Linked DNA regions of Macaca fascicularis. The protein of the gene in region 5 purifies or fractionates together with the protein of the main gene of each other region. This does not show direct contact. Links are inferred from orthologs where the notes say so. Each region holds a gene or a part of one and is shown on either strand. Other genes may lie near its edges. The genes, in order: DPF2, ACTL6A, ARID1A, SMARCD2, BCL7C and SMARCC2.

Region 1 (4,152 bases), on a different chromosome or scaffold from region 5:
CCTCAGTATCCCGAGTAGCTGGGATTACAGGCGCACGCCACCACGCCCAGCTAATTTTTGTATTTTTAGTAGAGTGGGGTTTCGCCATGCTGGCCAGGATGGTCTCAATCTCCTGACCTTGTGATCCGCCCGCCTCGGCCTCCCAAAGTGCTGGGATTACAGAGCCACCGCGCCCAGTCGCCTCTTTCTTTTTTTTAAGACAGAGTCTTAAAGTGTCACTCAGGCCGGAGGGCAGTGGTGTGACATCAGCTCACTGCAACCTCCGCCTCCTGGGTTCAGGCGATTCTTGTGCCTCAGCCTCCCGAGTAGCTGGGACTACAGGTGTGTGCCACCCCACCTGGCTAATTTTTATAGTTTTAGTAGAGATGGGGTTTCACCATGTGGGCCAGGATGGTCTCGAACTCCTGACCTCAAGCGATCAGCACGCCTCAGCCTCCCAAAGTGTTGGGATTATAGACGTGAGCCACTGCACCCAGCCAAGACTTCCATTTCTGACATCACATTTGGCAGGGACAGAAACTTACAAATAAGAAAATTCTTAAGGCCGGGCGCGGTGGCTCACGCCTGTAATCCCAGCACTTTGGGAGGCCGAGGCAGGTGGATGACCTGAGGTCCGGAGTTCAAGACCAGCCTGGCCAACGTGATGAAACTCCATCTCTACTAAAAATACAAAAATTAGCCAGGTGTGGTGGTGGGCACCTGTAATCTCAGCTACCCGGGAGGCTGAGGCAGGAGAACTGCTGGAACCCAGGAAGCGGAGGTTGCAGTGAGCCAAGATCGTGCCACTGCATTCAAGCCCGGGCCAACAACAGCGAAACTCTGTCTAAAAAAATTAAAAAAAAGAAAAGATGAGCCAGTGGTCCGACCTCAACATACTCAATGTATAACATCAGCTGTCAGAAGACTACGTACACTATAATCAAGAGAAGTGCCAGAAAATTATCTCCAAATTAACTGGAAGAATGGAAGCCCCTTCTTAAAGGGATAATTCTGCGGGAGTACGTATTAATTGTGATCTGAGGCCCTGTGCAGCTAGAAATGAGGAGGAGAGAGTTGGTTTCTCATTACTGGCATTCAGGAATTAGTGGCTGGTGATGCTCACAATCTCTACAGTTTTTCAAAGAGAAACAAGATGTCATGCTCTGTTTAAATGGGCAACCCCTCACTTATGACACAACTTGAAAGCACTGGCAACCCTATTTCCCCGAGGAAAACCTTCCAACACAAAGAGCCTCACTACGTTTAACTCTCAAAACCTAGGCAAGTCTGATACTCCTCCAGTACAATGAGAATCTTTCTTTTTATTTTTGGAGAAACTTGTGTAAAACATCCCCTTACAATGGGATGAGGGAAGTCAACAAAGACACAGGGAAACAAAGAAAGAACATCTGAGTCAGAAAGGATAACTGGATAAATGGTAGATCAACAGTGTCATTTCTAAATTGAGAAAAATGTCAGCCTGAAGAGAGAGCTGGGGAAACTGGAGTGGGCAGATCAGAAAGACAATAGTGTTGGGAGGAGGGGTGGCTGAAAGAGACAGCAGGATAGAGCAGAAAGCAACTTAAAAAAAAAAAAAAAAAAAAAAAAACCACAAGAGGAGGAAAGGCACTTAGCTTAATGGAAGTGGGAAAGCATTCTCAAAGAAAAGGCTTCAGGCAGGAGGGAGAAGCAACTTACTCTTTAAAAAGGCCCCTAGGAAGAGAGGGGCTCAGGCCACGACAAAGACAGATGAGAAGCTGTGAGTCCCTTAGAATACTTACCGAACCTTTACCTCATCACCCAGCCAAAATCCAAAAACCCTGACTGGACAGTTAGACACCACTCAATTTTCCCACCCTTGCACCAAGCCCAATATACCCATTAAAAGAAGCTCTATTCGCCTACCGGGCATTAACCCAATCTAAAACTCATTCTGATTCTCCTGTAGGAATAAATCAAGTCAGTCCCAAAGCATCTTTAACTCACAGGAAGCAGTTCATAGGTCAGTGTCCATGGCCCCAACAGCTATTAACTTTAACTTTGCTTGAAATCTGACCAGCACAACGGTATCGCATCATAGGAAGAATGCCCACTTAGATGCCCCTTTAGGCTACTAAGCTGTCCTGAACGGCTTTGGTTCAGTTGCAGGTTTTTGATGGTTGCCACTGGAAGGCGCCAAGGCCCACTCCCCTTTTGGATCCGCTCCTCGACAAATGCTTCCCAAGAATATTTGTAGTCTTAGGTACCTGCCACCCAAGATCCTCCCAAACATCACGGGGCTGCTTGGAACTGAAACAGCCAGCCCCGCAGTGCACCCCACAGGGGCCGCCGAGCCTGTTGCTGCAGCGGACGGGACGGGGCGGGATGGGCGGCGGGTTAGCCGTGGGGCCGCCCGGGCCTCGGCCCCGCTCCTCCGGACTGAGGCGTCTCGGGAGAGGACCGGGACGGTGAGTCTCGCGTGCAGGCAGGGCGCCATGCTCTGGAAACCGTCAGCCCCGAGGAACGCTGAGGCCACACAGCCCAGCAGAGAGGCTGCCCGTCGGGGCTCCAGTGTGCCCCCATCAGGGCCTCCACAAGTTTCCAAAGAAGCGCAACGTCTTCTCCGGAGTCTCCTATTGCCCTCCCCACCAGGAGTCGCAACATGGCCTTCCCGGGGATGTCCCTCTCTCCGCCTAGTCCCTTTCCCCACAGCCCCCTACTCCCAGGCCCTTTACAAAACCTGCCGCCCTAGGAGAGAAAGAAACCACCACTCACAGCTTCACTACATTCTCCACCACAGCCGCCATCTTCCCTGCTCCTCTCCCTCGGGCCGGGAGGCCCCAAAGTCCGCAGCGCGCAGGCGCCGGGACCGCACCGGGGTACCAGGTTCCTCGCCCTCTGCGCAGGCGCCGTCCGGGCGCGCGCACGAGAGCGAGCACCGAAGAAAGAACTTTAGGCCTGTTCCCGGGGGCCGGGTAGGACCCCACGGGAGCCCGACGCGCAGGCGCAACCGGAGACTGGCGTGCGTCCCGGAGCTTCGGTTCGAGGGCCGCCTCTTCTATTTAGAGCAACAGGAGGCGGTGCCGGGCGCGGTGGCTCACGCCTGTAATCCCAGCACTTCGGGAGGCCGAGGCGGGCGGATCACGAGATCAGAAGATCGAGACCATCCTGGCTAACACGGTGAAACCCCATCGCTACTAAAAATACAAAAAATTATCCGGGCGTGGTGGCGGGCGCCTGTAGTCCCAGCTACTCGGGAGGCTGAGGCAGGAGAATGGCGTGAACCCGGGAGGCGGAGCTTGCAGTGAGCCGATATTGCGCCATTGCACTCCAGCCTGGGCGACAGAGCCAGACTCGGTCTCAAAAAAATAAATAAATAAAATAAAAAAATAAGAGCAGGAGCCGGGCGCGGTGGGTCAGGCCTGTAATCCCAGCACTTTGGGAGGCCGAGGCGGGTGGATCACCTGAGGTCAGGAGTTCGAGACCAGCCTGGCCAACGTGGTGAAACCCCCATCTCTACTAAAAATACAAAAATTGGCCCGGCATGATGGCAGGTACCTATAATCCCAGCTACTCGGGAGGCTGAAGGGGGAGAATCGCTTGAACCTGGGAGGTGGAGGTTGCAGTGAGCTGAGATCATGCCATTGCACTCCAGCCTGGAAGACAGAGCGAGACTCTGTCTCAAAAAAAAAAAAAAAAAAAAAAAGAGCAGGAGGAGGGCAGTCACAGTGGCTCCCAGCACCGTGGGAGGCAGAGGCAGGAGGATTGCTTTGAGCTCAAGAGTTCGAGACCAGCCTGGGCAACATATCGAGGCCTCTTCGCTACTAAAAATTTAAAAATTACCCGGATGTGGTGGCGTGCACCTGTGTTCCCAGCTACTCTAGAGGCTGAAGTGACAGGATTGCTTGAGCACAGGAGGGTCGAAGGTGAGTGAGCCATGATTGTGCCACTGCACTCCAGCCTGGGCAACAAAGCCAACTCTGTCTCAAAAAAACCAAAAACCAAAAAACAAAAAACAGCCCAAGTCAATCTTCAACTATCACCTCTTTTCACCCTTTAAAAGCAAATAGTACTCCCTATCTCTGTTACCTTGTTTCTAGGTCCCGCTTCCATCCAGTTTAATGGGAACTTTGTTCCCACCTGTTCCCTTGAAACAGCTCCTGTCACCACGACCTCCCTTTCAGCAGATTTAGA
Region 2 (3,500 bases), on a different chromosome or scaffold from region 5:
GAAGACCAGGAGGCAAGAGAACACAGCGAGGTCAGAGAACTGCAAGCACCTCAGTACGGTCTGAAAGTAAAAGGAAGAAATGTAGAAGATGATTCTAGCTTAAAGCAGACTAGCACTTTAGAAAGATTATTAGAGGCTGGGCATGGTGGCTCATGCCTGTAATCTCAGCACTTTGGGAGACCGAGGCAAGCAGATCGCTTGAGTCCAGGAGTTAGAGAGCAGCCTGGGCAACATGGTGAAACTCCATCTCTACCAAATAAATAAATAAATAAAAATAGAAAGATTATTAGATCAACAGTGTAAAGAATGGGCAGACAAGAGGATGTGCTTCAGTAATCCTGGAAATAGCTTCCACCTAATGCTGTGGCAGTGGGAAAGAGAGAAACAAATAGCAGGAAAGAATAGGTGGGACTTGATGACTGACTAAATTTGAAGGGGAATGAATTTACAGCCAATTTCCAGTTTTCTGTGATATTGGAAGGGAGGGAGAAAATGGCAATCTTTCATTTCATCTAAGCCAACTGGTTAAAATATTGCCTTCTATCCACATGCACCTTCCTAAAAACAAAAACGTCTTAACACTCAGAATTTGAGTGTTACTTTATTTCCCTCATACTTTCTAGTGTATCATCAGTTCTAATGAGAAACACCAAAAGATGAATAGCTAAAAAGCAAGAGAAAAGAGAAAAAAACAACTTCTGAACAAGCAATAATTGGCTTATGTCTTCTGCCAGAGTTATCACATTCAGTAGTATGGTATACACTTCAAGAGGAAAGGTATTACTCTTTCAAGGATACGCCGTCAAAACTGCAGTTTTGCAAAGGAAGAATGCAGGGATGTTGTAGTGTTCAAACATTAACTCTGTCAGTTTCTCTCTCTTTGCTCTAGTATTCCACTTGAGAAGAGGGGAAAAAGAAATGCAAGTTATTAAGAATTAAAAAGTTGATTTATCTCCAGATAAAATCTAGCACTATATTAACAAAGAAATAAAACAATAAGAACAGCAAAAAATACCATAGGAAATAATCTTTCATAATAATATCTCACAAAAATAAAAACAAAACCTCTATATTTCTTTAGATGTAGATTAAATTTAACAAATCAATCAGATAAGAATTAAAATTCTTTAATAATAAAATTGCTTCTATAAATTCTAGAAATTAGAGACTTTTCCACATATGAGGAAATCAGTATTCTTATAAACATATTATTAAATCTAAAGAGTAAATATGGTCAATCCAAATCCTAAGTATGAATTTTAGACCACCAAATTCTCCCACTTATAGATGGTATTCATAAAAGAAACTATAAGTTAGCAACAATAAGATACTGATAATTTATGACCATTATGCTTGCTTTCTGGGTCGTTTCTGTCTATGTACCAAATGTATTTCACAAGAGACTTTGGTCCAGAAATTTCCAGCCCTTGTTCAACATCTCAATTCTCTCTTGGAAACTTGAATAAAGTAGATATACGCTGCCCTTGGGGCACAAGAAATGATTCGTAATTCAAAATGGGAAGCAGTCCTAGGAAATAAAATGTTAAATCCCTAGAAATACATAAATAACCACAAGAATTCATTAGTGTGTTTTGTTGTTCTCTGCATATTTTATCAGAATAGTAAAATGAAAGTTACAATAGTATTAAAAAATTAATCTTTTTCCCTAATTTTCAAATTCAAAATATGAATTTCTGAATTTCTATGCCTCTTTATAGAAAAATATTCATCAAATGAGTAGAAAACTAAAGGAAAAAAGAAAAAAAAAAAAAAACAACTACAGAAACATGAAAAAGAAAATCTTTATCTCACCGGTGCCTCTGACATGAGAACAGGATGGAGGCTGGCTTCTGATTTGACATGCATTTTGTAGGTATGATCCAAAATAGCCTGGAAACTATCCCAGTCTTCAACTAGAATATAAGATTAGTAACTTGGAAACAATGCATAGTTGAAGATGAATACAACATATTTTGAGAAATTGTTTCTGTGACTTAACAATTAATACCGTATTATACAGAACCTACTGATTTTACAGATCAACTTCATACCACAGTACTTTATATAAAGATTACCTTTGTCTTCTAGATATATAGAACTTCTTTTTGGTCCCTCCAGCCCCCAGACCTATCCCAAATGTAATTAATCTAACAGACCTAAAATACCAAGTAAATGTTATTCAATTCAATAAATACTTATTAGAGGCCCAGAATGTGATCAGAATAACAGGAAGTACAGAAGAATTATATGGCCTTCTAAATGATACTACTGCTGGGTTTAAAAAAAAAAAAAACAACAAAGATTTGTATGGTCTAGACCCAACACTCAAAAAAGCTTACAATCTATTTGGAAAAAGACTAAAAGACATGTTAAAAATTCAAAGAAGAACATCTGTCTTCAATTTGGCTTCCACCTAAACATTCCATTAAAACTACTGACATAAGTCATTAATGACCTTCTTTTTTTTGAGATGGAGTCTCACTCTCTCGCCCAGACTGGAGTACAATGGCGCAATCTCGGTTCACTGCAACCTCTGCTTTCTGGGGTCAAGCAATTCTCCTGTCTCAGGCTCCCAAGTAGCTGGGATTACAGGTGCCCGCCACCATGCCCAACTAATTTTTGCATTTTTAGTAGAGACAGGGTTTCACCATGTTGACTAGGCTGGTCTCTATCTCCTGACCTCAGGTGATCTACCCACCTCGGCCTCCAAAGTGCTGGGATTACAGGTGTGAGCCACCGCCCCCAGTCGCGAATGACCTTCTACTAGGCAAATTCATGGACACTTAACATTTTTAATCTCATCTGACTTCTCTAAATTATAACAGTATTGCCTTCACAAGAGTTTACAAACTTTTCTACTGCAGCCCAAAGAAAAAATGTCATTAATTATATATTTCCACAGGCCCACCTGGATTTTTTTAACTTCTTTCTTAGTGTAAAGCTTTCAATGTCACAGCGGAAAACACTGAGAATAAATGGAATTTTATGCTTCCAGAAACTTTTTCTTTTCTTATTCTTCCCCTGAATTTTTTCCTACATCCCTAATTGTTCCCTTTCATTCTCCTTCAAGGGTACCTTTTATTCTCTATTGGTTAAAATATACAAGTTTTTTGCTAAGAACTCCATCTTCAATCCTCTTCCCATATTCCAAATTTTTTCAGAGTAATAAAAAGCAACTCCATGTCTTAAAATCTTTCTTATAATCTTTTATTCCCCTGTTTACAGAATTGTCACCTGGATGTTCTAAGCACTTTTAACTTAGTGAACCCATTTACTTACTATACATGAAAGAGTTAACACTGCAAGCCTGAGAAAGGCCTGCTTGTAAGGCTCACTCTTAGCTGGTGTCTGGAAACACGATTGGCAAACAGTTCCCTATGTTCATATAAAACTTGTCCCTAAATGGTAAGAGTAGCTCGCTATACCTACACTGTTTGTACAATGTGGTTGGTTCTGAACACTTGCTTTCCTTCTGATAATCTAAAATTTTGTTACATGCC
Region 3 (3,369 bases), on a different chromosome or scaffold from region 5:
TTCCTCTTCTTCTTCCTCTTCTAGTTTAGGACCTAGAAGTTCTTCTTCTTCTTCCCCACCCTCCATGGGAGCTGGACTAGACACCTTGCTGAACCTCCCAGGATCCAGTAGCGTTCTCTGTCCTGGGTCACCCACCTCATACTCCTTTAAAATGCCAAAGATCTCAATCAGGCATCGTCGGAAATATTCTACAAGGAGCTCTAGCAACCCTGGGAGCTAAAAAGAGAAAGAACAGGAAATAAATTAAGGGATAAAAGTGGTCAAAGAACAGAATCCTTGACTTGAGAGACCTCCCCAAGTCTTCTGTATCAGCTGGGAGAGGCAGAGTTGCTCCTTTCCCAAAGGTTCTCCACAGAGCAAATTGTTCATCTTAATCTCTTCTATGCCCAACACAAAGTTCTTTCTTCTGCCCAACCTACCTTCACATAAGCCTATCTCCAGGAACACTAGCCAACAGCTTTGCACCTCACCCACCAGGGCCAGTCATCTCTTAGCCTTCTCTTTTCCCAATCAATCTTCTGCTGTTCTTCACCAGGCCAGTTTCCAACCTGGTGGTCACTGCCATATTATCTCTTTTAGGACATTCTCTCCATCTCACTGCCAAGTGGAACCCAAGCTTAGGCATGGTGACTCAAGCTAAGAGAAGAGAATGCAATGTGGGCAGATGTTCATGGCTCTCTTCTCCAAGCTCCCCAATAGTCCAGGGGGCTGGAACTCCATGGATCTTGCAGCATAAGGAGTGGGATGAGGCTTCAGCTCTCCAAACACTGGTCCAAACTGGGGCTACAGAGACCCAAATTCCACCTTGGGTAATATATAGGCCATTTATTTACCTCTAGAAGAAAACACTCCTCTCCAGTCACAATCTTTGGCTGAACAGTAGAGCAGATGGGAAAAAAATAAGGGCTTTCAAATTAGATCTAGGGGCTGGAAGCAGTGGCTCACACCTGTAATCCCAACACTTTTTTTTGTTTTTTTTTTGAGACAAAGTCTCACTGTCATCCAGGCTGGAGTGTAGTGGTGTGATCTCAGCTGGCTGCAGCCTCCGCCTCCTGGGTTCAAGTGATTCTTCTCCTGCCTTAGCCTCCCGAGTAGCTGGGATTACAGGCGCCTGCCACCACATCGGGATAGTGTGTGTGGGGTGTGTGTATGTGTGTGTGTGTATTTTTTTTTTTTTTTTTGAGACAAGAGTCCCGCTCTGTTGGCCAGGCTGGAGTGCAGTGGTGCAATCTCAGCTCACTGCAACCTCTGCCTCCTGGGTTCAAAGTGATTCTCCTGCCTCTGCCTCCCAAGTAGCTGGGATTACAGGTGTGCCACCAGGCCCGGCTAATTTTTATATTTTGGTAGATATGGGGTTTTACCATATTGGCCAGGCTGGTCTTGAACTCCTAACCTCAACTGATCCACCCACCTTGGCCTCCCTCCCAAAGTGTGAGGATTACTGGAGTGAGCCACCACGCCCAGCCTAATTTCTGTATTTTTAGTAGAGACGGGGTTTCACCATGTTGGCCAAGCTGGTCTCAAATTCCTGACCTCAAGCGATCCTTCTGCCTCGGCCTCCTGAAGTGCTGGGATTACAGGCGTGAGCCACTGCTCCCAGCCGGTAGTCCCAATACTTTGGAAGGTTGAAGTGGGAGAATCAGTTGAGCCTAGGAGTTTGAGACCAGCCTGGGCAACACAGTGAGACCATGCCTCTACAAAAAATAAGGAAGTTAGCTGGGGCCTGGAGCAGTGGCTCACACCTGTACTTTGAGAGGCTGAGGCAGGTGAATCACTTGAGCCCAGGAGTCTGAGATCAGCCTGGGCAACATGGTGAAGCCCCGTCTCTCAAAATAATAATAATAATAATAATAATAATAATAATAATAATAATAATAATTAGCTGAGCATGTTGGCGTGCACCTGTAGTCCTAGCTACTTGGGAAGCTGAGGTGGGAGGATCACCTGAGCCTGGAAGGTCGAGACTGCAGTGAGCTGTGATTGCACCACTGCACTCTAGCTTGAGTAATGGAGATCCTGTCTCAAAATAGATAAATAGCTGGACATGGTGGCATTTGCCTGTAGTCCCAGCTACTCAGGAGGCTGAGGCAAGAGGATCACTTGAGCCCAGAAGTTTGAGGCTGCAGTGAGCCATGAGGGCACTACTACACTCCAGCCTAGGTGCCAGAGTCTCTTAAAAAAAAAAAAAAAAAATTCTGGTTTTTCCAGGAAGTAGCTGTATAAAATAAAAATTCCTAAACTTTACAGGGTTATTCTGAGGTGTAAATGGGAGATGTCAAATACCTGGCATATGAAAATTGCTCTATCAAAATTTTTCCTTTCTCATGGTAGGCAATAATATGCAATGGAAATAAAATCAGGCTTAGGAATCAGATAGATTCTACTGACAGCTATGTGAACCTCAACAAGGGTAAGACTCTGAGCCTATTTACTCATCCCTAAATGACCATATCTCCTGTCTCTGAGGGCTGTTGCTAGGATGACATGAAACAGAATATTAAGGACCTGGCACAAAATAAGAGCACAATAAATGGTAACTATTAATAAGTCAGCTCCTTGATATACAGGTTGGTAGGTATTAAAGATGATCAAAAGAAAAAGAGTAGGATGATGCAGCACAAACTCTTTCCAGCACCTCTACTAGTGTGCACATCCTATGGAGGGTGGGTCTGAACAATCAGCTTTGTAAGAATATTGTTAAACAACCAAATCCCCCATCCAACTCTACATCTAAGGACACTGGGATCAACAAAGGCCCCTACTGTTCAAAGAAGAAAGGGAAAAATGGAAACAATGTACTCTGCTCACTGATAAAAAGACCACAGATTCAGGCCAGGCCTGGTGGCTCACGCCTGTAATCTTAGCACTTTGGGAGGATCACTTGAACTCAGGAGTTCATGAACCTGGGCAACACAGTGAAACCTTGTCTCTATTAAAAAAAAACAAAACACACAAGATTCTTCTAGAAAATGTGGTGTCCCCACTGGCATCAATAGAATCTGCATTCTTACTAATACCCCAAAGTGTCTCCCAAATTCCTTTTGAAGTCAATCCTGTGTTAAGGTATCATGTAAACAAATTATTATTGCTCTCAAGATCCTGGGCCCGTGCCCAGAGGCAAAGGAAGCAAAGTACTGGCATGGAAGATATCTACAAGAGTGAAAGAGAAAGACCATGGTGGCTAAAGATGAGACATTCCCATTGTCTACACTAAGAAGATCCCAAACCATCTCAATCTTCCCCAGGCACTGATACTCACCTGACTGAGATTGAAGGTCATGATGCTGTTGTCATCATATAGCAGGATGTTGATGGTATCTAATGCCCATGTGCTCTCTGCCAGGAGACCAGACTTGAGGGACATCATTA
Region 4 (3,953 bases), on a different chromosome or scaffold from region 5:
GCAGGTGGATCACAAGGTCAGGAGTTCAAGACCATCCTGGCTAAGATGGTGAAACCCCGTGTCTACTGAAAACACAAAAAAAATTAGCCGGGCATGGTGGCGGGCACCTGTAATCCCAGCTACTCAGGAGGCTGAGGCAGAGAATTGCTTGAACCTGGGAGGTGGAGGTTGCAGTGAGCTGATATCATGCCACTGCACTCCAGCCTGGGCGACAGAGTGAGACTCCGTCTCAAAAAAAAAAAAAAAAAAAAAAAAGATTTTGAACTTTTTGAACTCTCTGGAGTGAACCCAGAAATCTGAGGTTTTTGTTATTTTGTTGCCCAGGCTGGAGTGCAGTGGCAGGATCATAGCTCAATACAGCCTTGAACTCCTGGACTCAGGCAATCCTCCTGCCACAGCATCCCGACTAGCTGGGACCATAAGCGCACACCACCAAGTTTGGCTAAATTTTTTTGGGTTTTTTTTTTTTGAGAAATTATGGTCTCACTATGTTGCCTAGGCTGGTCTTGAACTCCTGATCTCAAGTAATCCTTCTGTCTGGGCCTCCCAAAGTGCTAGGATTATAGGTGTGAGCCACCACATCCTGCCCTGGAGGGTTTTTTGTTGTTGTTTTTGTTTTAGGTTCCTCTGTTAACTGTGATCCACAGCCAGAACCACCCTCTGGAGGAAGGGAGGTCATCACTTCCCTTCTTTCAACTATTTGTTCAGCTTGGGCCTCAAATTCTCGCTTTTCCAGCACATCTCATGAGCCCTAACAGACAGGAACCCCTCTGTTTCCCAGATCTCAAGTCCCTTCTCCTGGAAGTCATACAACTGGACTTGGAAAGAGAGCAAGTAGGATCCTCTTCAAACTCAGCCAAAGTTAGCTGGCTGGGTTCTCTGTACCATCTACCTCTCCTGCCAAGAGGAGGAAAGCTAGTGGGATGGGAAACCCAGACTCAGGGCCATCTCCTACTTCCCCACAGCTAGCAGCCCAGGCCTAACCAGCCAGCCAGCTTGGCCTTGCCACAAGCCCAAGGCCACCCCCCACCAAACATGTGGAATCCATTCTCTTAGGGGCTGTCTCAAGGGCACATTTCCTATGACTTTTTGCATGCCAAGGAAACTGGAGCGGCTTGTCTGTTCCAGGTCCTTCCAAGGCCAAAGGCCCACAGATGGTGCCCAGGCCAGGTCTCAGTGGGCAGGCCCAAGGGCTACAATGACTGATGCAGGGAGCCCTCAGCAACACCCTGGGCCCATGAATCCCCAAGGGGGAGAGTAGGGTGGGAAAGATGAGCCCCAGCTGGAGTCCCTGGGACCAGGTCTGTCTCTGCCCATATCCAGACTCTGTTTTCTCTTGAGAAAGGAGGAAGAATGAGGAGGAAGAAGGGAAAAAAATCCAGTCACTGTCCCTAGTTAAGCCATCTCCTTAGATGTGAGGCCCAGTGGGGCAGGTAGGCTGTGTATACTCCACGAGGATCCCTAAGGACCTCCGCCTGGAGACAGGAGTCGAAAACAGAGGAAGCCCACAGCAGACCCTGGGAGAAGCCAGTGTCAAATGCTGGGGCATATGGCTTCGGATGTGGCGGAGTTAGAACCTGAAGGCCAAATAAAAATGCAGAGAGGATGATAAGGCAGATGGGCACAGTTTCCAAGCCTGCTGGTGCAACCTGAACAGCAGACTAGGGGACCAGCAGGGTCAGGCTGAGGTTCTCACACACTGAGCAGAAGTCGCTGCCTTCCAAGGGCTTTTGAAGCTGAAACCTGAGCAGCTCTCAAAACCCCAAAGGGGTCAGGACAGCACTCTTTGAAGCAACTCTCGCAGACTCCTCGGGCCCCAGACCAGCAGGGTTCCACTCTGCACGTCCAGACTAATCAACTACCCGACACGATGACAGGAGGCAGAAAGCCCAGAAGAGAGCCGGCCTTTGACTAGGCTGGGCCTCCCCTCAAGCCTGGCCACCACCGTCTCTGGTCTAAGCTGGAGTCCTCCCCAGCGAAGGCGCCTGGCCCTGCCTCTGGAGTAAAGTCCGCCCGTGCACAAGCTGGAATGAATCCCCTGGCCCTAGTAGCCTCAGCGTCCCGTGCCCGTGGGAAGCCAGGCTCCTTCCTCCTCATTAGCAGCCGGGAGCCATCTCAGACACGCTAGAGCTCGGCCAGTTCGCAACCAGAAAAAACAGGGCAGACTTGGAGTGGGACCAAGGCCGATGCAGGGTAACCCCGGTTTCTCAGCGAGGGCCCTTTCCCAAACTTTCTCATCACTTTCTAGCCCTCCTACCCTAGACTTCTCAACCCACCCGCCCACAATTCACTGGTTCCCCAAACTCCTCCATCTCCCAGTCACTCGGAATCTCTGTGCCGCGGAAGCCCCCAGGCCTCCCAGCTGGTTCCAGCCCTCCGCTGCAGGACTCGCTCCCCCTTCCCCACTCCTCCACCGCCACCCGCCGCAGCCCGAGGGATCTGGCCCGCCCTCCACCGTCTCCCGGAGTTCCTCATGCATTCCCCAAGGCCCTCACTCGAGGCCCCCTCAGCCCCCGGCCCGGGCGCCCTCGCGGCGCCGCACGCCCCCGTCCGCTCGCGTCCTCCCTACTCACCTGGTACTGCCCCGCGGGGCCCGCGGGGCCCATGGGGCGGAAGGCGGCGGCCCCGGGGCCCCCCACGCCTCCAGCCGGACCCGGTCCCCGGAGCGCCGGTCCGGGCAGCATGCCGGGTCCGGCGGGGGGAGGAGGCGCTCCCAGGGCCGCGGCCACGGCGCCGCCGCCAGGGCTTAGCGGGGGCAGCGGGAACCCGCCCGCGCCTCGGCCCGACATCGCTCCGTCCCGTCCCGCGGTGCCGCGATCCGGACTCCGGGCTACGCGTCGAGTCCACTCCGCGCTCTGTACTCCGCGATCCGGGACTTGGCGATCTTAATTCCGGGTTCCGGGATTTGTCGATCCGGGCTCCGGGATTTCCTAATCCAAGTTCGCGAGTTCCTCACAGACCCGGTTCGGGACAGATTCCGCTCCTGCGCCGGAGATTCCGGATCCAGGATCTGCTGTGGGCCCGCCTGCCGCCCCCGGACTCCGGAGGTTTGGCCGCCCGAGTCGAGTTACCCAGAGGCGGCTACGAACTCCCTGCCCCGCCCAACCCAGCCCAGCACTAGGCCCCGCCTCTACCTGGTGCCCAATGCTCGAGTGCCTCCTTGAATCCCGCCCCTCGCGAGACCCGCCCCCAGCAGGCACCGCCCCTAACCGCCGACCTCAGAGTCCCACCCCCCACCTTTGGCCCCGCCCTTCATCGGAGGGGCGGGAGCGGAAGCTGCGCGCGGAAGCGCCGAGTGAGGCGCGGGGTCAGAGGTCTAAGGTCACGTTGAGGCTTCACAGTGAATGAGCAGTTGCTACTACTCTTTCCCGGTGTAGCAGCCTCACCGAAAATAGTTTTGTCAAGTCTCCTTTCTGCATCTTCCACATTAAAGACCCAACTCAGAGTCGGTAGCGGTGGCTCACGCCTGTAATCCCAGCACTTTGGGAGGTTGAGGCGGGTGGACCACCTGAGGTCAGAAGTTCGAGACCAGCCTGGCCAACATGGTGAAAACCCCGTCTCTACTAAAAATACAAAAATTAGCCGAGAGTGGTGGCTGGCGCCTGTAATCCCAGCTACTCGGGAGGCTGAGGCAGGAGAATCGCTTGAACCCGGGAGACAGAGGTTGCAATGAGCCAAGATCTCTCCACTCCACTCCAACCTGGGCGGCAAGAGTGAAACTCCTCAAAAAAAGAAAAAAGACTCAGCTGCTCTCTGGGGCAGAACAGCAGCCAACTCAACTTCCTGTAAAAGCTCATCCTGGTAGCTCGGAACTGCCAAGGGACCTAGGAGGCTCCAGACTTGACCCAGCTGGTGAATGGTCGACTTGGCCAAGGCTGAGCTCTTACAGCACATTTTTAACGTGGCTCTGCCTCACTATAAGGAAGCCTGGTACTTTACTCCCCAGCAAATGC
Region 5 (3,954 bases):
CCCAGGAGGCTGAGGCAGGAGAACTGCCTGAACCTGGGAGGTGAAGGTTGCAGTGAGCCAAAATTGTGCCATTGCACTCTAGCCTGGGCAAGAGTGAAACTCAAAGGAAAAAAAGAAAAGAAAAGAAAAAAACCCAACCATGTAAAGTGTTTACCAGGGCGCCTGGCACACAGTAAGAGCTCAATAAATACTGTTGTTATTCCTGTTATTATTAATCACCCCAATGACTATCACTATTATTTATTCACTCAACAGATATTTACTGAGCACCTACTCTGTGTCCCATATTATTCTGAGAATACAGTAGTGAACAAGATCACATAGGGCCAAGCACAGTGACTTACGCCTATAATCCCAGCACCGTGGGAGGCTGAGACAGAAGGATCATTTCAGGCCAGGAGTTCGAAACCAACCTTGGCAACATAGCGAGACCCTATCTCTACAAAAAATTTAAAAGTTAGCTGGGTGTGGTGGCACACACCTGTAGTCCCCAGCTACTTGGGAGGCTGGGGCCAGAGGATCCCTTGAGCCCAGGAGTTTGAGGCTGCAGTGAGCTATGATTGCACCAGTGCACTCCAGCCTGGGTGACAGAGAACTTCTCTCTAAAAAAAGAAAGGGGGGGCGGGTATGGGTGTGATGGCTCACACCTGTAATCCCAGCACTTTGGGAGGCTGAAGATGGAGGATCGCTTGAGTGAGTGAGTTTGAGACCAGCCTGGGCAACATGGTGAAACCTTGCCTCTACAAAAAATACAAATGGCATATGCCTGTGGTCCAAGCTACTTGGGAGGCTGAGGCGGGAGGATCGCTTGAGCCCAGGAAGTTCAAGGCTGCAGTGAGCTATGATCACACCACTGCACCACTCCAGCCTAGGTGACACAGTGAGACCCTGTCTCAAAAAAAAAAAAAAAAAAAAAAAAAAAAAGGATTAATATGGGCCCAACATTCAGGAAACTGACATGAGAGTGAGGAGAAAGATAGTAAAAAATTAATTTACATGAAAGTCTCAGACAGTGATATGTCATCTATAGATCCTAAGAGACCAGAGGAATGAGACAGCAACTACAGAGAGATTCTGCAGGAGTCGGAAGGCACCTTGAGGAAGGTGCACAAGATGGGGAGCAGGTATAGGGATAAGCTGGTAGGTTAGACTCTGGAGAAGACAGGACTTAGAGGAGAGGGCTCCTGGGAGGTACCTGGTCCTACCTCTCTCTTGGCCCAGCCGTGGGGGCTGAGCCTCCTCAGGGACCCCTTCTGGGGGTCCGGCAGGTGACACAGGGCGGCTGGGCTGGGGGGTGCCCCCAGGACTGGGCTCTGTGCCCTTTTGCAGGGAACCTTCCGAATGGAAACTCTGGTTGCTGTTCTCATCTGTGGGAGCAAGAGCCGAGATGGTTGGCCTGAGATCCCTAATACACTCCTTCAGTCCCCACAGCCCTCCGCATTTCAGGATCCCTACCTACCATTGAGATCCAGCAGGATGAGAGGGCCACCCCCTCGGGGACTGGCGCCCCTGCCCCGACGTTCCCGGCCACGGGATCTCTCTGCCCCGCCACCTGCCCGCCTTCGCTCCTGGGGGTTAGAGGATTAGGGTCAGAGCTCTTGGAAAGCCCCACCATACACCTAAGGAAACTGAGGCACTGAGAAGCAAAAGGGCTCGAACTCAGGGTGTGGAACAGAAAAGAGGGAAAAAGGGGAGGAGCTGCTAATGATGGTTCCCATCTGTCTGTTCTGCTGCATCTGAGGTCTCTGGGAGCTGGAGGTAGAGGTCAGGGTGGGGAGGAGCTTGCCTGAGGTTGCACAGATGCAGGGCCTTGTGGGAATGGGGGTTGCTCACCTCCTCCTGGGGGTCCACCACTGGCACCCACTTGAAGATACGAAGGGAAGTGTCGCCCACAGTCACCCATCGCTTCTCCCTGTGGGAGGGTGGGGGACTGGGTCAGAGAGGCCTGAGGGGAGACCCACCCCCCCAGGAGCCGGACACATCTGGGGGTACCTGCAGAGGTTGGGGAGGCACAGGAGGGTAGCAACAGTTTTGCTAATGGGGCATAGTTACATGGAGAAAGAGAGCCCTGCAAACCCCAGGGCACAGGCGGTGGGTGCCTCTAGAGAGAGGATATGATTTGGGCCCTGGCTCTGCGGACCCCTGGGGCACACACGGGGGGCGTGGCTATGGGCCTGGCCCGGGATCAGAGACCTGCAGATCTCGGGGCGCACTTGCAGAAGGAGTGTCAAAGCTTTAGGGGGCGGGGCACAAACGGGGGCTCCCACTCTGGGAGAGCACGACTGGGGACCACGCTTTGTAGACCCCCAGGAGTAGCCAGGGGAACGGGGACAGATCCAGGGCAAAGCTAGTGGGCGGGGATACAGCGAACACCGGGGCCCAGAGCTGGCGAAGGCAGCTTAGACGCCTTAGGTGGTGGTGGTCCCGCCGTGTCCCGTCCCTGGCCCCCGGGCAGCGCTCACCATCTCCGGACCTTCTCGATGGTCGCCATCACCTTCTTGATGTCATCCTTGGCCCGGCTCCGGGTCTCAGCCCGTACGGTCCGGCCGGCCATGCTGGCGGGGCTGGGGCCGGAGCCGAGCCCGCGGCGGGGCCGCCTCCCGTCCGGCGGGCTCAGGCTCGGCGCCAGGCCCGGGCGCCGCGCTCTCGGCCTGCCGTCCCCCCGGGAGTTGGCCGCGCCCTCTCTCGTCCCCAACGCCTCCGCGAGTCCCCGCCCCGTTTCCTGCCGCCGTGCCCCGCCCCGGCCCGTCCCCGGAGCGGCCCGGTGGCGCGGGCGGCCAGAGCCCAGGCCTGGAAGCCCGGCCGGCCCCGCCCCGACCCGGGCCCGCCCCCTCGGAGCGCCTGGACGCGCAGCGCCCCCTGCCCGCTGTCGAGAGCGGGAGTTGGGTACTGCTCGGCGGCCGGACGCGCGAGGCAGGGCCGAGGCGGTGCGTTCAGACCACGTGGGCGCGGGGTGCTCGAGAGGGTCTGTGTCCTGGGGTGCGTGCGCCGCGGTGGGTGTCCGCGAAACGCTGTGTGTGGAGTGCGTGCGTGTGTCCGCCCTCGCCAGGCTCTCGGTCTACACCGCCCAACACTCATTCATCCATTCATTCAACAGTCCTGTTAACTGAGCGCCAATTACGCGCCAGGCGCTGCGAATACGAGTAGGTCTCTACCCACCAGAATGGCTAAAGTGAAAAAGACCGCACCATGTGGAGGCGAGAAAGTAGAGCGACTGAACCTCTCTTGTATTTCTGGGGGAGTGTAAATTGGTAGAGACGTTTTGAGAACTGGCAGTTTTCTAGTGAAGCCGAACATATGCCACCTCTGTGATCCAGCAATTCCACTCCTAGGCTGTCAACACCCAGCAGAAATGTGTAGGTGTGAGCACCAAGAGGGTGCTTGGGAACGTTCAGAGCCCTTTCATAACAGCCCCAAACTGGAAATAACCCATCAACAGAATGGAAAATGAATGATGCCCTACTCATTACCATGCACATAGACACAGCAACGGGAGTGACATGCCCGGCTACACCCAGCAACATAGACAAGTCGCATGACGAAATCTTGAGTGACAGAAGCCAAATACAACAGTACATACTAGATGGTTCCAGGTGTATTACGTTCAGAACCAGACAAAACTAATTTAAAGTGCACCAAAGTCAAGATAGTGGTCGCCCTTAGGATTGGGAGGGGATGAGGGGAGAGCTTCTGGGAGCTGATCCAGTTCTGTTGTGTGATCCGGTGCTGGTTCCCTGGGCATATGTACTCTGTGAAAATCCATCACATGACTTAAATAAAATGTGCATTACTTAAAGAAAGTGAGTGTGTCTTGGTTGACTTTATTTGAGGCTGGCTTGTCAGCAGATAAGACCATGTCAAAATTTGTGCTGCTGTGTGTGTGTGTGTGTTTCAAGATGTGCCTGTTGTGTCTGTGAGTTTGGGCGTGACCATGTCCCGAGGTTAAGGGTATAA
Region 6 (3,500 bases), on a different chromosome or scaffold from region 5:
TCAGCCCCCCGAGTAGCTAAAACTACAGGCGTGCGCCACCATGCCCTGCTAATTTTTTTTTTTTTTTTTTTTTTTTTTTAGACACAGGGTTTCAGCATGTTGGCCAGGCTGGTCTCGAACTCCTAACCTCAGGTGATCCGCCTGCCTTGTCCTCCCAAAGTGCTGGGACTACAGGCGTGAGCCACCATGCCGGGCCTACATGCTGCTTTTTGCAACTATTAATAATATTCACTTATAAATTGTCCATGTTATTTTATATCACTTTGGAGGCTGCATAATAGCCCACTGAGTAGATATACAAATTTACTGAAACATTTTCCTACTGTTAGACATTTAGATTGTTTCTAACATTTACTTATCAAAAATTATGTGGGGATAATCAATTCATACATAAAGCCTCAATTGTTTTAGCCCAAGGCTTGTTCACTAAGTCCAAACCTCCCCCAAGACTGAGGTTCACTTAATAGGTGAGAGGAGAACAAATTAAGTGATCTAAAAATAACTCTGAACGAGTGGCTTCTTGCTCTGCTAGATGTTCCAGGGCTTCTGGGTCTGGCTCTTATACTTAAACCTGCCCCAGGAACCCATCCTCACCTGTCAGGATAGTAGCCCCAGTGCAGAAGAACCTGCTTATCCCTCTTCATGACTGGTCGTACCCATTCCTCTGGGGATAGAGGAAGAGAAGGGAGAGATATAAGCTAAAGAGGGACACAAAAAAAATACTGTACATAAGCCCTAACTAATGCACTCTCCTGTTGTAGCAGGGGACTTGGTAATAGGAACTTAAGGTGTTAGGAGGATTCAAGATTGAAAGAAGAGGAGCCCAGGTACTGAATGGTGATCTTAGTCCTCTGCCTCCTAGTCCAAACCATCCACTCAAGTGGCCAGGAAAACCCAGGTCTCACCTTCTTCTAGATTCCCCGGGACAGGATACACAACATGGGAGGCATTGTTCTTATCCTCAGTGACTGTTCCCTAGATGGCACAAGGAGAAGCAGGTAAATTACGGTCCCCTCTGAATTACTCAAGGTTTAGCCACAGAGCTGCCTTCCTAATCATATTTTGCTTATAATAGTATTAAAGTTAGTTTGCATTCTCTAAGCACACACCAGCTAAGTGGCAGAGGGAAACAGCTGGGATTGTGCTAATAATGGAGAAAAGTCAAAGAATTAAAAATTGCTACAAATAATCCTCTGAACAGATAATCTACACATGGGAAATTTAAAGTCAACTGTACGTCCTTATCAATGACATCTGTTCATTATTATAAAGTTCTAAAGAGCAGGGATTTCATTTATCTGAAATCAAGCAATCTCTAGCTCAATAGAAGTGGATACTATTTTTCCCCAGGCCAACATAAGTCTCTAGGAACAGTAATGCAAACCTGTCAGGACTGAAAAATGGGAGAAGTAGACAGAAAAAGACAGACTCAAGGCTTTTTTTTTTTTTTTTTTTGAGACAGAGTCTGGCTCTGCCGCCCAGGCTGGAGTGCAGTGGCTGGATCTCAGCTCACTGCAAGCTCCGCCTCCCGGGTTCACGCCATTCTCCTGCCTCAGCCTCCCGAGTAGTTGGGACTACAGGCGCCCGCCACCGCGCCCGGCTAGTTTTTTGTATTTTTTAGCAGAGACGGGGTTTCACCGTGTTAGCCAGGATGGTCTCGATCTCCTGACCTCGTGATCCGCCCGTCTCGGCCTCCCAAAGTGCTGGGATTACAGGCTTGAGCCACCGCGCCCGGCCAGACTCAAGGCTTTAACTCAAGTCTTCCCAGTAGACAGAGCCACCTCTGAAGCAGAAAACATGGTAGTTCAGGGCTGCTGCTTGGTATAGAAAACATCAGGAAAAGAGTCATGGAGTTTCTGAAACCTCTCCTGATCAGACCATTTACCTGGTGTCTCTTGATTATGTCCTTTAATTTCCCTAGTAGTTTGGGCTCAATTTCTGGGCACAGAAAAATGTTAGGTCGAGACAGGCAATTATTCTGTGGAGAAAAGAAATAGAATGAGATCACGGGAAAGGAGTGTTTTAGATTTTCACTGAGGGAAGGGAGATAAATAGGGGATATGCCTATTACCTGCACCAAGGACTTCTCGATGGTCATAAACATTTCCACATTGCGGTCCATGCGTGATGGATTCTGGAAATCGTAACGCCGCCTTGTGAAGAGGCAATAATCTAGTGAGTGGTATAGCTCAGGTCTGCAGATGAGGTGAGGGCATGTGACTTTTGTTTTTTGAGATGGAGTCTTGCTCTGTCACCTAGGCTGGAGTGCAGCGGTGTGATCCTGGCTCACTGCAACCTCTGCCTCTCAGGTTCAAGCAATTCTCCTGTCTCAGCCTCCCCAGTAGCTGGGACTACAGGCACACACCACCTCGCTTGGCTAATTTTTGTATTTTTAGTGGAGACAGGGTTTCACCATATTGGTCAGGCTGGTCTCGAACTCCTGACCTCAGGTGATCCACCTGCCTTGGCCTCTCAAAGTGCTGGGATTACAGGCATGAGCCACCACACCCAGCCTTTTTTTTGTAGTTGTTGCTGTTTTGAGAGGGAGTCTTGCTCTGTTGCCCAGGCTGGAGTGCACTGGCGTGATCTTGGCTAGCTGCAACCTCTGCCTCCCCTTTACAAGCCATTATCCGGCCTCAGCCTCCCAAGTAGCTGAGATTACAGGTGCCCGCCACCATGCCCAGCTCATTTTTGTATTTTAGTAGAGATGGGGTTTCGCCAAGTTGGCCAGGCTCGTCTTGAACTCCTGACCTCAAATGATCCAACCACCTCGGCCTCCTAAAGTGTTGGGATTACAGGCATGAGCCACTGCACCCAGTCATGACTTCTTAATATGGGAAATTAGGAGGCAAGCTTGCTTACAGCTATTGCCAAAATCACCTGGGATCTGAGGTTCACTGATCTCAACTCCATGAATCACTCTCTGTGCTTACTCCAAAGGGACAAAAAAAGGTTTCAGACGCCAACCTAAGAATCCCTTTTCCTCTACAAAACACACACTGATACTCGAGTACACACTCACTCTTGGCGACTGTTTTGGCTCTGACTCCCAACCATTTTTCTGACCTAACAAGTCAGGTCTACTGACCCAGCAAAATAAAGACTCACAAGAATTTCTACCCCAGAAAGACCCCAGGGAATCAAAAGGAGGGATTTCCTCTAAACTAAATGTAAGAAGAATAGAGAGAATCATCTCACCATCCCTGGTCACTCTTGAATTTGTAGGCAGCTGCAAGAATGTGGCACAAGGAGCCTCCCGCTTTGAAATCTAGGAAACATTTGATCTACAAAATCAAGGTACGGAAGAAGCATGTCAAGGTTCTATTGTAAATTCTATCATCACTTAAAATCCTTTCACAAAATCCCATGCTGAACTGATCTCCCTCTTTTTTTTTCAGATGGAGTTTTGCTCTTGTTGCCCAGGCTGGAGTGCAATGGCACGATCTCGGCTAACTGCAACCTCTGCCTCCCAGGTTCAAGCAATTCTCCTGTCTCAGCCT

The links.
Region 1: the proteins of BCL7C (region 5) and DPF2 purify together in Homo sapiens (affinity purification with mass spectrometry; 4 studies listed by BioGRID and IntAct, counting the BioPlex papers as one, with this or other methods). This does not show direct contact. The link is inferred for Macaca fascicularis from reciprocal best matches to the Homo sapiens genes BCL7C and DPF2.
Region 2: the proteins of BCL7C (region 5) and ACTL6A purify together in Homo sapiens (affinity purification with mass spectrometry; 3 studies listed by BioGRID and IntAct, counting the BioPlex papers as one, with this or other methods). This does not show direct contact. The link is inferred for Macaca fascicularis from reciprocal best matches to the Homo sapiens genes BCL7C and ACTL6A.
Region 3: the proteins of BCL7C (region 5) and ARID1A purify together in Homo sapiens (affinity purification with mass spectrometry; 5 studies listed by BioGRID and IntAct, counting the BioPlex papers as one, with this or other methods). This does not show direct contact. The link is inferred for Macaca fascicularis from reciprocal best matches to the Homo sapiens genes BCL7C and ARID1A.
Region 4: the proteins of BCL7C (region 5) and SMARCD2 purify together in Homo sapiens (affinity purification with mass spectrometry; 3 studies listed by BioGRID and IntAct, counting the BioPlex papers as one, with this or other methods). This does not show direct contact. The link is inferred for Macaca fascicularis from reciprocal best matches to the Homo sapiens genes BCL7C and SMARCD2.
Region 6: the proteins of BCL7C (region 5) and SMARCC2 purify together in Homo sapiens (affinity purification with mass spectrometry; 4 studies listed by BioGRID and IntAct, counting the BioPlex papers as one, with this or other methods). This does not show direct contact. The link is inferred for Macaca fascicularis from reciprocal best matches to the Homo sapiens genes BCL7C and SMARCC2.

Annotation. Positions count from the first base shown.
Region 1 is NC_088388.1:9,039,884-9,044,035, forward strand, and holds the start of DPF2 (zinc finger protein ubi-d4), read right to left. Parts: upstream 2,801-4,152; 5' UTR 2,766-2,800; coding exon 2,734-2,765; intron 1-2,733. UniProt on the Homo sapiens protein: Plays an active role in transcriptional regulation by binding modified histones H3 and H4. Is a negative regulator of myeloid differentiation of hematopoietic progenitor cells. Might also have a role in the development and maturation of lymphoid cells.
Region 2 is NC_088376.1:91,326,933-91,330,432, reverse strand, and holds part of ACTL6A (actin-like protein 6A), read right to left. Parts: intron 1,914-3,500; coding exon 1,813-1,913; intron 897-1,812; coding exon 799-896; intron 1-798.
Region 3 is NC_088375.1:208,331,523-208,334,891, forward strand, and holds part of ARID1A (AT-rich interactive domain-containing protein 1A), read right to left. Parts: coding exon 3,260-3,369; intron 873-3,259; coding exon of another isoform or gene 753-872; exon of another isoform or gene 517-752; intron 217-516; coding exon 1-216. UniProt on the Homo sapiens protein: Involved in transcriptional activation and repression of select genes by chromatin remodeling (alteration of DNA-nucleosome topology).
Region 4 is NC_088390.1:70,346,792-70,350,744, forward strand, and holds the start of SMARCD2 (SWI/SNF-related matrix-associated actin-dependent regulator of chromatin subfamily D member 2), read right to left. Parts: upstream 2,801-3,953; 5' UTR 2,790-2,800; coding exon 2,574-2,789; intron 1-2,573. UniProt on the Homo sapiens protein: Involved in transcriptional activation and repression of select genes by chromatin remodeling (alteration of DNA-nucleosome topology).
Region 5 is NC_088394.1:29,068,280-29,072,233, forward strand, and holds the start of BCL7C (B-cell CLL/lymphoma 7 protein family member C), read right to left. Parts: upstream 2,801-3,954; 5' UTR 2,555-2,800; coding exon 2,463-2,554; intron 1,913-2,462; coding exon 1,834-1,912; intron 1,569-1,833; coding exon 1,460-1,568; intron 1,368-1,459; coding exon 1,206-1,367; coding exon of another isoform or gene 1,196-1,205; intron 1-1,195. UniProt on the Homo sapiens protein: May play an anti-apoptotic role.
Region 6 is NC_088385.1:62,971,584-62,975,083, forward strand, and holds part of SMARCC2 (SWI/SNF complex subunit SMARCC2), read right to left. Parts: intron 3,285-3,500; coding exon 3,199-3,284; intron 2,154-3,198; coding exon 2,072-2,153; intron 1,979-2,071; coding exon 1,886-1,978; intron 976-1,885; coding exon 906-975; intron 665-905; coding exon 595-664; intron 1-594. UniProt on the Homo sapiens protein: Involved in transcriptional activation and repression of select genes by chromatin remodeling (alteration of DNA-nucleosome topology).